Linked DNA regions of Saccharomyces cerevisiae S288C. The gene in region 3 interacts genetically with the main gene of each other region. Each region holds a gene or a part of one and is shown on either strand. Other genes may lie near its edges. The genes, in order: VBA1, ESBP6, YJR149W and SDS23.

Evidence for each region.
Region 1: mutations in YJR149W (region 3) and VBA1 together harm fitness more than expected from each alone (negative genetic interaction), as found in Saccharomyces cerevisiae (one large-scale study listed by BioGRID).
Region 2: mutations in YJR149W (region 3) and ESBP6 together harm fitness more than expected from each alone (negative genetic interaction), as found in Saccharomyces cerevisiae (one large-scale study listed by BioGRID).
Region 4: mutations in YJR149W (region 3) and SDS23 together harm fitness more than expected from each alone (negative genetic interaction), as found in Saccharomyces cerevisiae (one large-scale study listed by BioGRID).

What each region holds. Positions count from the first base shown.
Region 1 is NC_001145.3:442,850-447,022, forward strand, and holds VBA1 (Vba1p), read right to left. Parts: upstream 2,254-4,173; coding exon 565-2,253; downstream 1-564. Other genes in the region: PDL32 (putative ADP-ribose 1''-phosphate phosphatase), read left to right, coding at 1-532; m-AAA protease subunit YTA12, read right to left, coding at 2,760-4,173. UniProt on the Saccharomyces cerevisiae protein: Transporter required for vacuolar uptake of at least histidine and lysine.
Region 2 is NC_001146.8:389,644-393,871, reverse strand, and holds ESBP6 (Esbp6p), read left to right. Parts: upstream 1-1,704; coding exon 1,705-3,726; downstream 3,727-4,228. Other genes in the region: NAF1 (RNA-binding snoRNP assembly protein), read right to left, coding at 1-980; SPC98 (Spc98p), read right to left, coding at 4,105-4,228.
Region 3 is NC_001142.9:705,194-708,915, reverse strand, and holds YJR149W (putative nitronate monooxygenase), read right to left. Parts: upstream 1,757-3,722; coding exon 542-1,756; downstream 1-541. Other genes in the region: DAN1 (Dan1p), read left to right, coding at 1-105; branched-chain-amino-acid transaminase BAT2, read right to left, coding at 2,042-3,172; HMS2 (Hms2p), read right to left, coding at 3,644-3,722. UniProt on the Saccharomyces cerevisiae protein: Catalyzes the oxidation of alkyl nitronates to produce the corresponding carbonyl compounds and nitrites.
Region 4 is NC_001139.9:395,469-399,560, forward strand, and holds SDS23 (Sds23p), read right to left. Parts: upstream 2,151-4,092; coding exon 567-2,150; downstream 1-566. Other genes in the region: GEP7 (Gep7p), read right to left, coding at 1-361; OLE1 (stearoyl-CoA 9-desaturase), read left to right, coding at 3,160-4,092. UniProt on the Saccharomyces cerevisiae protein: Involved in DNA replication and cell separation during budding.

The DNA.
Region 1 (4,173 bases), on a different chromosome or scaffold from region 3:
TCAGCTTGGAGGAAGATATCACACGGTCGGATCTGCTACAGTGGTTGACCTACAGCGATGTCTTGAAGAGAAAACAATTGAATGTAGAGATGGTATTAGGTATATTATTCATGTTCCGACCGTTGTAGCCCCATCAGCTCCTATATTTAATCCGCAGAATCCCCTCAAGACAGGGTTTGAACCGGTTTTCAACGCCATGTGGAATGCCTTGATGCATTCTCCAAAAGACATTGATGGTCTTATTATTCCTGGATTATGTACTGGGTATGCAGGTGTACCACCCATTATCAGTTGCAAGAGTATGGCCTTTGCGTTAAGACTATATATGGCGGGAGATCACATAAGCAAAGAATTGAAAAATGTGCTGATCATGTATTATTTGCAATATCCGTTTGAACCTTTTTTCCCGGAAAGTTGCAAAATAGAGTGCCAAAAACTAGGAATAGATATCGAAATGCTGAAATCCTTTAATGTAGAAAAAGATGCAATAGAATTGCTCATTCCTAGAAGGATTTTGACCTTGGATTTATAAAGGTATATAATATAAAGTCTATTTTCAATTTTTCAAGAACTTGAACTACGTTTGTAAGTATGTTTCACCAGATATAACGATAAAACAATTCCCACTGCTGCCAGGGCTATATTTGGAATATAGGAAATCAGGAATGCCTTTTTGTAGACATCAAGAATGCGAACAAATATATCCGTTGGAAAATTGGGCCCTCTCAAGTAACTCGAATCATTGATAAGGGAGTAGTACTGCTTTTTGGTGAAGTGATATTCGTCATCACGCTTGGTTTTGAACATATAATTCCATAACATGGACGACAGGCTATTCTCATAGGACACTAAAGTTAAAGAGGCACCAAGAACGTTACCAATGGATCTCCACAAATAGAAAACACCAGTCATGGTTCCTTGCTGTGATTTTTCGACGGTGAATACGATGCTTACTAACGTGGCCACTAATAGACAAGCGTAACCAAAGGACACAAGGACTGATGCAAACACATATATCAATTTCCACCATATTGAGTTAGATCTGAATGTAATAGACTCAAGCATATCATATATGGTGTAGTCAGGATTCAAGTGTGAAAGTAGGAAATAGCCCAATCCCAAACCCAATAGCTGCATTATCATACCACCAAAAATGATTTGATATGCACAGTGTGCTAGGTTAATTTTCGTATTCCGCAATACCCATCCTGTTACCAATGATCCGACTGCAACTGATATAGAGGGGAAAATCAAAAAGAGGCCAGTCTTTGTTACACTAATATTTTGAAGCAATTGTAAATAGATTGGTGACCTAAAGATTTCACCAAATACAACAAATGAAGATATAACCGTTACCGCTGAGCTCAAACAGAATGAGCGAGTCAATAGTTCGAATGGTAAAATTTTCTCAGTCGCGTAATAACGTTCAACCAGGATAAAAACAATAAAGCTACCAATGGTAAACAATGCTAAATACAACTTGTTCAACTGGCTAGAGCACAAAAATAAAACTCCACTAATGGTCGCCACCAGGCTTAATGAGCCAAATATATCTATCCGTGACAGATTCTTTAAGGTATATCTTTCTTTCATAGGAGGAACATGGAATAGCTTAATATTAATGTTTTTGATTGCTAATACCGAGCACAACATTATCACGGGTACTTGGATACCAAAAAGAGCCCTCCATCCAATGGTTTCTATAAATACACCACCCAACGGAGCACCTAGTAATTGACCAAACCCGAAAACAATATTCGCATATCCCTGGTAAACGCCCCTTTCTCTTGCTGTACATATGTCACTAACAGCAATGCTACTAATAGCATTCAATCCTCCTGCACCAATACCACATATGGCTCTTGCTATTGAGAATTCCGTGACGTTTCTGGCAAAACATGTTAATAAGCACCCAAGGCCAAAAAAAAATTGAGCGGTTAATAATGCTGACTTCCGCCCTGTTATATCAGAAAGCTTCCCATATAGTGGTTGGAAAGCCGTATTTGTCAAAAGAAAACTCGTCGCAATCCATTGCTTTTTACTTGATTCAGAGAATTCCTCAGCAACTCTATTCATTATATTTGCGACAATAGTGCTATCCAAGGAACTCAAAAAACTACCCAACCATAGCGAAAACAAAATGGGAAACTTAGGTAAGGCCAAATTATATTCATGAAATTTTTGTTCCAAGGGAGGGGCTTCAGCTTCCTCAGGTGGAGGGAGTAGATTTGAAGTCTCGTCTAGTGTTTGCATTCTTCTTGTTCCCTCAACAACTAGGGCTCTGAGCTTAGTGAAGAACAAAGAGGAGACAAAAAACAAAATAATTCGATAGAAAAAAATCGCTGCTGTATTCTTATATTTTGGGAATGTGGGTTGGCCTAAAGTGGAACCGCATGCTCTTCTCTATCACCGGCCCTTAAGATGACCTACGTTTATTGTCGGACAGATATCATCCAACAAAACGACGCAGTGAAAAAGTGTATCATGCGAATACTGAAGATAAGATAGGCTAAGCCGTGGAATCAGCGATAAAAAAAAGATCGCGTGTATTAACCAATGACAGCCTCACAGAAGCGCTTTGATCATATATAGATATAGGTGCATTTATACACGTATATATATTTACATGTTTTCAGATTAGATTATATGGTAAATACGTGACAGTGTTCTACCGAAAAAGAAAGATGTCTGGCTTTCAATAAAATAAGCAAGATATGTAGAACAGTCTTCCTCCATTTCTTTGTATTGTGAAATATCAATCAGTTTGTAGATGGCTTAGGCTCATTACGTTTTTCGTTTTTTTCTTCTTCCTTCCTGATTTTTTCCGTTTCGTAATCGTTCAAGTACTTATCAAAAGCATCATTCCTTTCTGGGAAAGGGCGCTTACCAAGTAAATCAATCATATCTTCTCTTGTCAAAACTTCTTTTTTCAGTAGTACTTGAGCAATCTTCTCTACATCTTCTGCTTTTTCTTTAAGCAGCTTTGTACATCTGTCATGGCATTCTTGGACGATTCTGTATACTTCGGAATCAATAATGTCACCTGTCTCGTCCGAAAATGGTTTTGTCAAATCGCTATCATCTCTCTTCTGGTAATTGACCCAGCCAATTTTATCACTCATGCCTAATTCTGTGACCATTGCCGTGGCCATGCTAGTAACTTTTTTGAAGTCATCAGATGCGCCACTTGTAACTGATGGGAAATGTAATTCTTCAGAAACTCTTCCACCCAGAGACATGGTCATTCTGTCCTTAAGTTGCTGTTCAGTTAGTAAGAAGATATCACCTGGCAAATACTGTGCATAACCAAGGGCGCCCTGGCCACGTGGAATAATACTGACTTTCAGAAGAGGATCTGCGTATTTTAAGTACCATCCACATACAGCATGACCAGCCTCGTGGTAAGCCACTACTTTCTTCTCTTCGGGAGAGAGTAGCTTGGATTTGCGTTCCACTCCACCGATGACTCTTTCGATAGCTTGTTCAAAATGATTCAATTTTACTGCATCTTCATCACTTCTAGCAGCAATCAAGGCGGCCTCGTTACAAACGTTGGCAATATCAGCACCAGAAAAGCCTGGCGTCAAAGCCGCTAATCTATTTTTCAAATCAAAAATTTCCCCGGCAAGTTTCAAATGATGTAAATGAACAGCAAAAATGGCTTTTCTACCCTCAAGTTCGGGCTTGTCGATATTGATATGCCTGTCAAATCTACCAGGCCTTAATAATGCTTTATCGAGAATATCGGGTCTATTGGTACCAGCTAAAACAACAACGTGGTCAGCTGGAGTGAAACCATCCATTTCTACTAACATTTGATTTAGCGTGTTCTCTCTCTCATCATTGGCACCTGAAAAATTACCCTTTTGTCTTGCTTTTCCTATAGCATCAATTTCGTCAATAAACACAATTGAGGGTGCATTTTCTCTTGCAGTTTTGAACAAATCTCTTACTCTTGCTGCACCAACACCAACAAACATTTCTACAAATTCTGAACCAGAAACAAAATAAAACGGAACACCGGCTTCACCTGCTGTTGCCTTTGCAAGCAAAGTTTTACCGGTACCTGGTGGACCAGATAGAATCGCACCTCTAGGAATTTTAGCTCCCATTTTTTCATAACGAGAAGGTTCTTTCAAGAAGCTAACAAACTCCATAATTTCTTCCTTAGCC
Region 2 (4,228 bases), on a different chromosome or scaffold from region 3:
TCACGTGCGTTTCTTGATTTGTACCCATGTTGCATCGGAGCATTACTGCTCATGCCCAACGGCGGTACCAGTTTAGGTAAACTGTTGGCCTTGGGCTGCCGAGCTCTCTTTACCTTGACATTGTCACTATCGTTGGCTAGTTTGCGGTTGTCCCTTTTCTTTCGTTGCCGTTGCTGTTTCTTCATTTTCTTGAAAAGGGCCTCTTTTTCGTCGTCGGAAAATTCTTGTTCCTCTTCAGGTAATTCTTCATCGTACCCATTAGACGCATCAGTACCTTTGTTGCGCTTTAACTCGAAAGTATCTATCCAGTGGGCATCAGGGGTGACTATAAAGGCTTTCTCACCCAAACGCACTTTTAATTCATCGAATAAGTTTTTTTTTGAATCGGGCAACTTAATTCTATAAAATGGGTTTTGCAAGGGTCCAAACACCTCCGTCAACATCCCGATCAAAGTTCTATCCTCGAGACAGAAAATGGAACCCTCTTTTAAAACACGCTTTTCGCCCGACATCGTGGCGTGAATGATTATATTATTTTCAAATGCAGACTTCAAAACACCAATAGGAGTGATGATCGTTTTTTCTGAAATTTCATAATCTTCCGGTAGTTCAGGAACAGTTTCCTCTAGTATTTCGTTCTTCGATAGTATAGGACCGGAAGGTGAAGGGTCTTCGTCTTCGTCTTCATTTTCAATCGCGTCACCACCTTCGTCCTCTCCTTCAACGTCCTGATCTGCAGAATCATCCTCACTACCTGAAGAGCCAGAATCAGAATCAGAATCAGAACCGGAATCTGATTCGGATTCAGAAGAGCCGGATCCTAGGCCTGTTGATCTTTCTGCGTCTGCTACCGGTTCATCGGTCTTCCTCTCGTTCCCACCATCACCTAAAAGACCTAAATCAACATCATCCTTGGGCAATTCCACGTTCAAGTCCTGGTCGGGATTCTCCAAAGCCTTAGAAAACAAGTCATCGCTCATGATTAGCACTGTTTCGACGTGCTATATTGTGCTTCTTCCACTTTCATACCGCTTCATCCTACCTATCATCCTACCATCTTTTTCCTTTACCTTTAAGCTCATCGCCTGAAAAATTTCATGGCCGCAAAAAGAAACGCGCAGACCGTTACCCGAGTGGTAGTGCCTGACTCATTTATGTGCCAACTAAGCATTGCTCGAGAACAAACTAGTGAAAATGTAAACCAGGGAATTTATCATTTGGTCAAAGACCCTGACGAACTAAAACTGTCAAAGGCTGATAACGCAGTAAGAACAGACGGAGGCCTTATACCGCATCTTTGCAGACCACAGTTTCCTATATCTAGTTACAATAGCGCTTGCCGACGATAACCGAGATAACGTATCTTTGCCGCGGGCTATCTCGGCAATCTGCAAAAAAAAAAAACCCCCGCCGCTATTGAAGAAAAGTCTTCGGGAGAACCTGGATAAATACTTGGCATTCCTTAGATCTTGATGCTTTGTCCACTCATATCGGAGCCAAAACTAGACTGTTTCTTCTATATTCTACCAAAGCTGCTAGACTTAGACAAATTTTCTTTTGTTAGTTAAATGTGCGAGTCAGAATAGTATTTTGCATTTGTCACACCACATATTTAAAAGTTTTATCTTTTTCTTTTGTTTTCTCCACTTTTCTTTACTTTTTCTTTAGGTATAATTACGGGGCTTCTGAAAATAAATCTGAAAAATGTCAACGCACTCAAACGACTACTTTTCTGCTTCTTCCGGAATGGTCTCTGAGACATCGTCCGAGGTTTCTTCGATAAACTCTTCACAGCCTGTATCATTCTCTAAGGCTTCTATTGCTGCTCCGGTTCCATGCTCTGATCTACACAGCACCAAGTCGAACGATGCATCGAGAAAATTGTCTATTAGTAGGACGTTAACTAATCGGCTCAACGACATTAAAAAGGCTGTCGATGACGACAACTTGCAGACGGAAGAAAATTCCGCAGACGTTAATAAAATATTAGAATCTAGATTTGACGTGGCCGATGCCATTAGGCTACAGCACAATGAGTCAGTCCAGTCAAAGTTAAACATCCCAGTCACACACACCACGACTGCAGGCGCCTCGTTGTCGGCACCATCTTCCTCTGCTTTCTCTGCTTCTTCTATTCAAAATGATACTACAGAACATAAAGCTTCCATGGACTCCAAACTCATGAGGAATAGACTATATCCGGCTTCCACGAAACACTCCGGTAAGGATCTTGAGGCCCAAGGAATAACCGAATTCGAGCCTGATGAACCGACTGTAAAAAAAGTATTCACCAACAAGTCTACCGGGCAGCTGGAACTGCCCCCCGACGGTGGTTATGGCTGGGTCGTGACATTCTGTGTGTTCTTGACCATGTTTTCCACGTGGGGCTGCAACGCATCCTTCGGTGTCGACCTTGCCTACTACTTAAACCATGATACTTACCCTGGTGCTTCGAAGTACGATTATGCCTTAATTGCTGGCCTAACTGTCTTTCTCGGTCAACTCTTATCCCCCCTTGTGATGGCACTGATGAGAATAATTGGTCTGCGGACCACCATGCTTTTTGGTGATGCTGTAATGCTTGCCGCATATCTCTTGGCCTCCTTTACTACCAAGTTATGGCAATTGTATGTCACCCAAGGTTTTATGGTCGGTTGTTCAATATCACTGATTTTCGTTCCAGCAACAACCGTCTTACCAGGATGGTTCTTGAAAAAAAGAGCTGTCGCAATGGGTGTCTCATTATTGGGTACCGGTGCTGGTGGTGTCGTTTACGGTTTGGCTACAAACAAAATGCTTTCTGACTTTGGAAATACCCGGTGGTGCCTTCGTATCATAGGCATATCGTGTAGCATAAGTGTTCTAGTTGCTATTGCGCTCTTAAAAGAAAGAAACCCTACACCTGCCATAGGATTGAAATCGCCTCGGGCCATGTTTGAACAGCTCAAAGCAATGTTTTCATTAAAGGTTATAACTAAGCCATTTGTGGTACTTATTGCATTATGGTTCATGTTCGCATTATTTGCCTACAATATGATGGTTTTTACTTTATCTTCATACGCAATCTCGAAAGGATTATCATCGCACGACGCTTCCACATTGACTGCCATTTTGAACGGCTCGCAATCCATCGGAAGACCTCTGATGGGTTTAGCGGGAGATAAGTTTGGTAGGGCAAACGTAACGATCGTATTAACCACTTTGTTAACAATATATATGTTTGCGTTCTGGATCCCCGCTCATACGTTTGTTCAACTCATCTTTTTTTCAATTCTAGTTGGCTCATGCGTTGGTGTCGCCAACGTCATGAATACCGTTCTGATTGCCGATATGGTTAAACCAGAAGAGTTTTTGCCCGCTTGGGCCTTCGTCAACTACTGTGGTGCGCCTTTCTTATTGGTTTGTGAGGTGATTGCCCAGGCATTGACGGTGGAGAAAGATAAGAGCAATCCTTACTTACATGCACAAATTTTTTGCGGTTGCTGCTTTATTGCCGCACTAATTTTAATTTCTATCCTTCGTGAATATTCTATCAGGATGAAATTAACGGAAAGACAAGCTATGACAAACGAGAAGTTAAAAGAATGGAAGGCAAGCGAATACGATACCGATTCTGCCGATGAAGATTGGGGTAAATTAAAAGAAAGAAAGACTAAATATGACCTTCTTTTAGGTCCGGGCATTAAAAAATACTTCCTAAGAATGGTATATCCAATGAAGGTCTAGTTCTTTTCGACGACCTGATTCATGTTATATACGCGATAGTTACGTCGCCTACTCATCATATCATTAGTACATAATATTCAATATCTCCGCTTCACCTAATTAAATTTCTTTATTATCAAAAAGACGTAAAGTTAACGCTGAAAAAGCATTCTTTACAGAAAACGACCTTTTTTTAACCTAATATATTTAGCACTGTAAAGATATTCCATGTATCCATATGTAATACACTTTGTGTTGCGGATCCAGGAAAAACAAAACGAAAAAAGAGTCTCTTTACTTGCAAATAAATCTGTAAATCATTTGCTACCATTACAACTTATACATTAAACCTGCGTGGAGGAAATTTATTATAAATGAAAAACGGGACGGGATCATTTCTTAACGGAGCGATTTGCTCAATAAGAAAAGCTCTTCATCGCCATCGTTCTTTAAATCTGCCCTAAAAATATACAGTCTGTCTTTAAAATTTTTATACTGGCTAACAATTTCCTTTAAATTCGTA
Region 3 (3,722 bases):
TCAGCATCTCGTGTTATTGACGTTACCACTAACGGTGCTAACAAGTTCAATAACGGTGTTTTCGGTGCCGCTGCTATTGCTGGTGCCGCCGCTCTATTGTTATAGTGATCATGTGCGGCCCTGTACAGTTGTATAAATGATGTAAAATAATTGAATTCTCTTAATTTTAATATTTATAAGATATATACTATAAGCGTAAGGAAATTCCAAAGAAATTTGTTTTTTAGTTTGCAGTCTTGTGCTCCAACTATTTCCGGTCCTTTTCGAATTTCATGTCAGGAGCATTCCTTATTGCAGACAGCTTAACAGAAAAAAAACTGTGAAAAAAATAAATACCTTTAGATATTAAAGCCCTAAATTGATATCAAATTTTTTCCATATTTGGATTTTGTATTCCTTAAAGCCCACATCCTGTGAACGGTTACGCTCAAATAATGGCCAAGTAACCTACGATCCAATAGCGACGTATATATATCATATAGAAAAAGGTCATCCAGAAAATTTGTGTCAATAAGTATCAGGTCTTTTATATGTATTTATATTATTTTCCGTCAATTTTCAATCTTGCGCCCATAGTTTCAATTTTCTTGTCTGTTGTGATTCCTGATTGGACATTCTGAAATCCTTGTCCAGCTAAAATAAAGTTAGCCAATTCTGGATACTTTTTTCTTACTTGCTTGAAAGCACTATACATGTAGCCATATGGAGGAAGCTCCTCACCTTGAAAATTAGCAATGACTTTTTCGATAAAAGGAGTAGAGATGGTCCTTGCAGGCTTTCCTGATATTATATTAACCATTTTAGTTGTTGTTTCTCGAGTGAAGGGGCTTGAAAAGTTTTTTGATGCATTGGATTCACTGCAACCAAGAAAAGCAGTCCCCACTTGAACAGCGTCTGCTTGCTGTGATAACATGTATGATATATCTTTGGAATCCATTATACCACCTGCTGCAATGACAAAGGGAGTAGCATGTATAAGACCTTTATTTTTCATTTCAGCAAGTTCATCAACTGTTCTTTTCACCAATTGTACAGTTGATAAGTTTTCATCATCTTTGGGGTCATTTACTAAGAAATTTCCTCTATGTCCTCCCGCTTCATAGCCTTGACACACTATGCCATTAATGCCGAGACGTGCTAACAATCGAACTTCTCTTACAGAGGTGGCAGTCACAAAAATTAGAATTCCAATTTTTTGTAAATATTCTATTGTAGATTTCGACGGATGGCCAAAATGGAAACTAATGATTTTAGGCCTAAAGCCATCTGATAGGTACTGGAAAAAATCTTGAAGAGCATTTTCTTTTTCAAATGCCTTAAAAGATACATTACCATTATCGAATTTAATCTCATTCATATCAATCGGCACATTCATAGACTTTCTGTATAGCTTCGCCCAGTTAGCTGTTTGAAGATCGGTCGGTTTATCAACGATATCATGGCAAAAAAAGTTTAGGTTGAGATTGCCCTCTAAAGATTCATCGGCTACTTGATCTCTGAATTGTGAAACCATCAGTTTAAGCTTTTCAATATCATTGACCTTTCTGAAGTCTAAGTGGGATAGGGGTAGTGAAGCTATGGCGCCCGCAATACAAGCCTTAGCGGCCATTTCAATAGTCGTGACCCCCGCCATAGGGGCCTGGATGATAGGGTATCTCAAGTTTAAACATTTTTGGAAAGATCTGCTCATATCTTCTCTTTTATCCACCGACATTACGGAAACGTCTTGAAATATTAGTTGGTTTAAAAAGTACATGAATTGTCTTGAGTTGCTTCTAAGGTATGTATGGGCCCTTTTCTATCCGCGCAAAAGATGTCCTTGATACCGATAGGCCAGCACTAGATGACAAGAAAAAAAACGAAAGGATAATTGCAGGTTTCGACATACATTTTTTATCAGATCACTGCAAAATCCAGGAATTCATATATACAATGTCAAAGGGTATGTTATATTCTGACATGACCCCTTAACTCAGTAGAAAAAACGCTCTAGTTTTATTCTTTTTAACTTTTAATTACTTTACGTAGCAATAGCGATACTTCAGTTCAAATCAGTAACAACCCTTGACCAATTGCCATGCTCAGTCTCGCCATATTGGATTCCATTAATCCATTGTGCAACTTCTTTGGCCAATGGACCGGTTTGTTCGCCGGGCAACAACGGAATATTAATTTGTTCGCCTTTCCAGCCGATTTCCTTAATGGGAGAAACAATCGCAGCAGTACCAGAACCAAAGGCTTCAAGTAGTTCACCGTTCTTGGATCTCTCAGTAACTTCGCCTATAGTGAAGTAGCGTTCACTAATGGTCCATTCACTTGGTTCGAGTCTTTCTTTAGCAAGATTTAAAATGGAATCCCTAGTAACACCTTCCAAAATGGTACCGTCTAGTGGAGCAGTAACTAGTTCCTTCTTGCCCGTTTTACTATCTTTAAACACGAAAAAAGCATTCATGGTGCCGACTTCAGTAATGTTGTTATTTGGACCAAATAGCCATAAATTTTGTTGGTAACCCCTTGAAGCAGCTTGCAATTGTGGCAGGACGCAGGGGGCGTAGTTTGCACCTAGTTTCTTGTCACCACAGCCTCCTGGCCAAGCTCTTGTGGCATAATCAGTGGCTTCCAGTCTGACCGCCTTAAATCCAGTTTTGTAATAAGGACCCACAGGGCAGCAAATGACATATAGCAAGGCTCTATCAGGCGTGGAAACCCCTAAACCGGCCGTAGTGCCGATTAATGTAGGCCTGATATATAAAGAGTAACCTTTTCCTTCAGGAACTAAGCACTTATCTTGCTGGATCAGTTTCCCAATTAGGGTAATCAACTCTTCTGGGTCGAACGTTGGCAAACAGATTCTCTGAGCAGACTTATTCATGCGCTTCATATTCATATCTGGACGAAACATTGTAATTTTGTTGTCCACCGTTCTGTAAGCCTTCATCCCTTCGAATAGCTCAAAAGCATAATGGAAAACCACCGCGGAAGGGTCTAAAGACAGATTTTGATAAGGTTTAATCTCTGGGGTACCCCACCCTTTTTCAGCTGTCCATTCCGCAGTTAACATGTGGTCCGTGAAGCTCTTGCCAAACACTAACTCACTGTTCGGTTTTGGCTTAGATGCATGTTGTGTGGTAGTTATCTTAACTTTGGAGGCGTCTAGGGGTGCCAAGGTCATATCGTTCTTAAAACTCGTGGAGATGCTTTCCCTTAAATTTCTAAAATTTTAGTAGTTAGTCTGTTTTTATTAAGGATTTCTCAAAGGAATGAATTTTTTCCCAGGAAATAGTCGAATATCTTGTAAGCTTATATTAGTTATACTGTCAGCTCATTTCGGATCTCCTCTCACTCACGTACGGCTCTTAATTTCTACCTATTATTTCCGTTTTTGTTGACAGAAAAACGGACATAGAAGAACGACACCAAAAAGAAAAAGAGTCGGATCTACAGATTAGATAACAAGAGGTGTCAGAGAGGGAAAAGAAGCTAAATTAAGTGTCACCCGAAAGCGGAAAAAGAACGCCGTTTGCAAGAATGGTTCCGGGGCCAATGGAACATTAAACTTTGGTGTAGTGCGGTCACAGAAAAAAAAAATCGTACACGTATATAGTGGTATGCTAGGTCGTGAATGACCCTCAGAGGCAGGTTTTCACGTTCGAAGATGTTTGGAAAGGAGCGTTATAAGTTGTGTTGGGGTGAAGGGGCTAACTAGGATGTCACTGAACCCC
Region 4 (4,092 bases), on a different chromosome or scaffold from region 3:
TGAAGAATTTGTTCATAATGACACCAAGCTCGCCGTTGTTTAGACGCTCAGTTAATAAATGATCGCGTTTCAAACCACTTGTTTCGTCTTCATCTAGATCTGGTGCACTTGGCTGCAAGACGCTAAATATCTCGGACATGGTCTGTGAGAAGGAAATGGGGTTTTCTGTAGATGTAGTACTGCCATTTTGAGCTAACCGTATTTTCTGCTTCAAAAGCAGTGAAGCCGGTGGAATTCTTTCTAATTTTGGTTGATAAAATCTCTTTACCAAAAGATTTCCTGCGACTGCTTTAATCATGGGACCGATTCTGAAGGCTCTATGCGATTTTAATCTGAAGATTTTAACATTTGACAGTACCATCTCAATCGGACCTTTTAACTGATTTTAGCGAGAACATGTGTATATATTTCCTCTAAGAAAAGAAAGGGCCTAAAAACCTCGCCCCAGTGCATAATAAAAGTAAAAAAAAAAAAATCAAACTTTATTGGGATAAAATAAAAATCAGAAAAACCCTTATATATGTATATGTAGTTAAATGAAGCCAGTTTTTTTCGTCTGGTTTGTTTCAGCCTATATGCCCTCTTTGCTTTCTTGCCATCTGCGGATCAATTTCCTTATGATGCGTTTGTTTTCTTGCCAAAACACTTAATATGTCAGTCAATGACACAACACCTATCAATTTACCTGTTCTATACTCCTTTTCGAAATGTGCTGGAGTTGGAGATGCGGGACAATTACTTGGACTTTGAGGTGGTGGCATTGTGGCCGATGGAGACTGTGGTTGAGAAGGTGAGGGACCACTCAAATTTATATTTACATTTATTTTATTGTTTGATGTATCTGAAGATTTTAGAACAGGAGAGTTGGCCATCCTGGAAGATTGCGTGTTCGAATGGTATGACGACGCAAGCGATGGCAATGTCGTTACGGGTGGAGTACTTGGTGATGGAGATGAGGATTTTTCGGAAGATGCTGTTGGTTGATTGTCATTTGGTTGTACTATCCATAATCTGTGAGATTTGGTAGCGACCAATTTGGCAAACGTTCTTGCCAGGGAACTTGTTGGATACACATGGAAAATAGGAAATGAGTCCTTACCGGTCTCTAGGCCCCTTAAATTCAAAATAACCGAGACAAAATGACGACATGTATTGTGTAATAAAGGATATTGTGAAGTTCTGGTGACGTGTTTGACGTCTGTTACTGAAATATTACCAATCAAGTTTCCCTGCGGGTCAACTACCGCAATGGAAGAGATTCTTTCGACATACATTTTATGCAGAGCCATAATTAGATGCTCGTCACCTTGGATGGATATGACACGTGACTGCTTGAATGTAGGTTTATCACGGGCTGCATTTAGTACACCAATATTCAGCTCCTCCAGGGAAGAGTCCAAGAGAGGCTTCAAGTTGGGAAATGATCTCGCATTCTCCCACAGATACTTAATCAATCGACGTTGGGAAAGTATACCTTTAATCTGTGTCATTTCCACGTTCGTGATGGCAACACGATGCACACCTGAGCCTAGTATGCCTATTACCGTCGATAAGTTTTCCGTTTCGGGCAATTTGTAGAATGGATTCTTAGGTGTCAACTTTACTATCTCGCCCACGGGCACGGACTTACCATTCTGGCAGTCTGAGGTTATCTTGTCGTTGCTCACCTTGATCCTGTTTAATACAAGAAGAAGGTACGCATTGAGATCATTATAGTCGAATGTTAAACAATTCATGTCTCCCGGAAAATTCTCCACAGGCAAAGACGTTAGCTGGTGCTTGACCAGCGTGTTGAATGCTTCCTCTACGGAAATAGAACCTCTGATGAAAATCAATTTGTTCTGTTCCACCAAATTTGACAGAGGAGTGTGTTGCCACTCCTGCCTATGAACAGATAACAGATTCTGTGAATTCAAGGTGGACAAGGAGTTGCCATTATTGTTTGAGTATTCCGTGTTATCCAGCGTGGAGAGAGAAGATGAAGATGACGATTTCGAAATAGATTTATGTAGTGATTCTGTGTCGCTTTTGTTTGCTTCAGTGTTCTTGTCTGTCTGTTCGCTCAAACTATTTAAATCTGTGGAATTCGGTAATTGAGGTGGGGTAGAAAGCATTTCTACGATGGACGTGTGTCTTGTATTTTGAGGCATTGGGTGGGTCTTGCTGAAAAGATGATGTTCTGAGGTATTCGTATCGCTAGCTTGATACGCTTTTAACAAAAGTAAGCTTTTCGTTTGCAGGTTTGGTTACTTTTCTGTACGAGATGATATCGCTAAGTTTATAGTCATCTGTGAAATTTCTCAAAAACCTCATGGTTTCTCCATCACCCATTTTTCATTTCATTTGCCGGGCGGAAAAAAAAAAGGAAAAAAAAAAAAAAAAAAAATAAATGACACATGGAAATAAGTCAAGGATTAGCGGATATGTAGTTCCAGTCCGGGTTATACCATCACGTGATAATAAATCCAAATGAGAATGAGGGTGTCATATCTAATCATTATGCACGTCAAGATTCTCCGTGACTATGGCTCTTTTCTGAAGCATTTTTCGGGCGCCCGGTGGCCAAAAACTAACTCCGAGCCCGGGCATGTCCCGGGGTTAGCGGGCCCAACAAAGGCGCTTATCTGGTGGGCTTCCGTAGAAGAAAAAAAGCTGTTGAGCGAGCTATTTCGGGTATCCCAGCCTTCTCTGCAGACCGCCCCAGTTGGCTTGGCTCTGGTGCTGTTCGTTAGCATCACATCGCCTGTGACAGGCAGAGGTAATAACGGCTTAAGGTTCTCTTCGCATAGTCGGCAGCTTTCTTTCGGACGTTGAACACTCAACAAACCTTATCTAGTGCCCAACCAGGTGTGCTTCTACGAGTCTTGCTCACTCAGACACACCTATCCCTATTGTTACGGCTATGGGGATGGCACACAAAGGTGGAAATAATAGTAGTTAACAATATATGCAGCAAATCATCGGCTCCTGGCTCATCGAGTCTTGCAAATCAGCATATACATATATATATGGGGGCAGATCTTGATTCATTTATTGTTCTATTTCCATCTTTCCTACTTCTGTTTCCGTTTATATTTTGTATTACGTAGAATAGAACATCATAGTAATAGATAGTTGTGGTGATCATATTATAAACAGCACTAAAACATTACAACAAAGATGCCAACTTCTGGAACTACTATTGAATTGATTGACGACCAATTTCCAAAGGATGACTCTGCCAGCAGTGGCATTGTCGACGAAGTCGACTTAACGGAAGCTAATATTTTGGCTACTGGTTTGAATAAGAAAGCACCAAGAATTGTCAACGGTTTTGGTTCTTTAATGGGCTCCAAGGAAATGGTTTCCGTGGAATTCGACAAGAAGGGAAACGAAAAGAAGTCCAATTTGGATCGTCTGCTAGAAAAGGACAACCAAGAAAAAGAAGAAGCTAAAACTAAAATTCACATCTCCGAACAACCATGGACTTTGAATAACTGGCACCAACATTTGAACTGGTTGAACATGGTTCTTGTTTGTGGTATGCCAATGATTGGTTGGTACTTTGCTCTCTCTGGTAAAGTGCCTTTGCATTTAAACGTTTTCCTTTTCTCCGTTTTCTACTACGCTGTCGGTGGTGTTTCTATTACTGCCGGTTACCATAGATTATGGTCTCACAGATCTTACTCCGCTCACTGGCCATTGAGATTATTCTACGCTATCTTCGGTTGTGCTTCCGTTGAAGGGTCCGCTAAATGGTGGGGCCACTCTCACAGAATTCACCATCGTTACACTGATACCTTGAGAGATCCTTATGACGCTCGTAGAGGTCTATGGTACTCCCACATGGGATGGATGCTTTTGAAGCCAAATCCAAAATACAAGGCTAGAGCTGATATTACCGATATGACTGATGATTGGACCATTAGATTCCAACACAGACACTACATCTTGTTGATGTTGTTAACCGCTTTCGTCATTCCAACTCTTATCTGTGGTTACTTTTTCAACGACTATATGGGTGGTTTGATCTATGCCGGTTTTATTCGTGTCTTTGTCATTCAACAAGCTACCTTTTGCATTAACTCCTTGGCTCATTACATCGGTACCCAA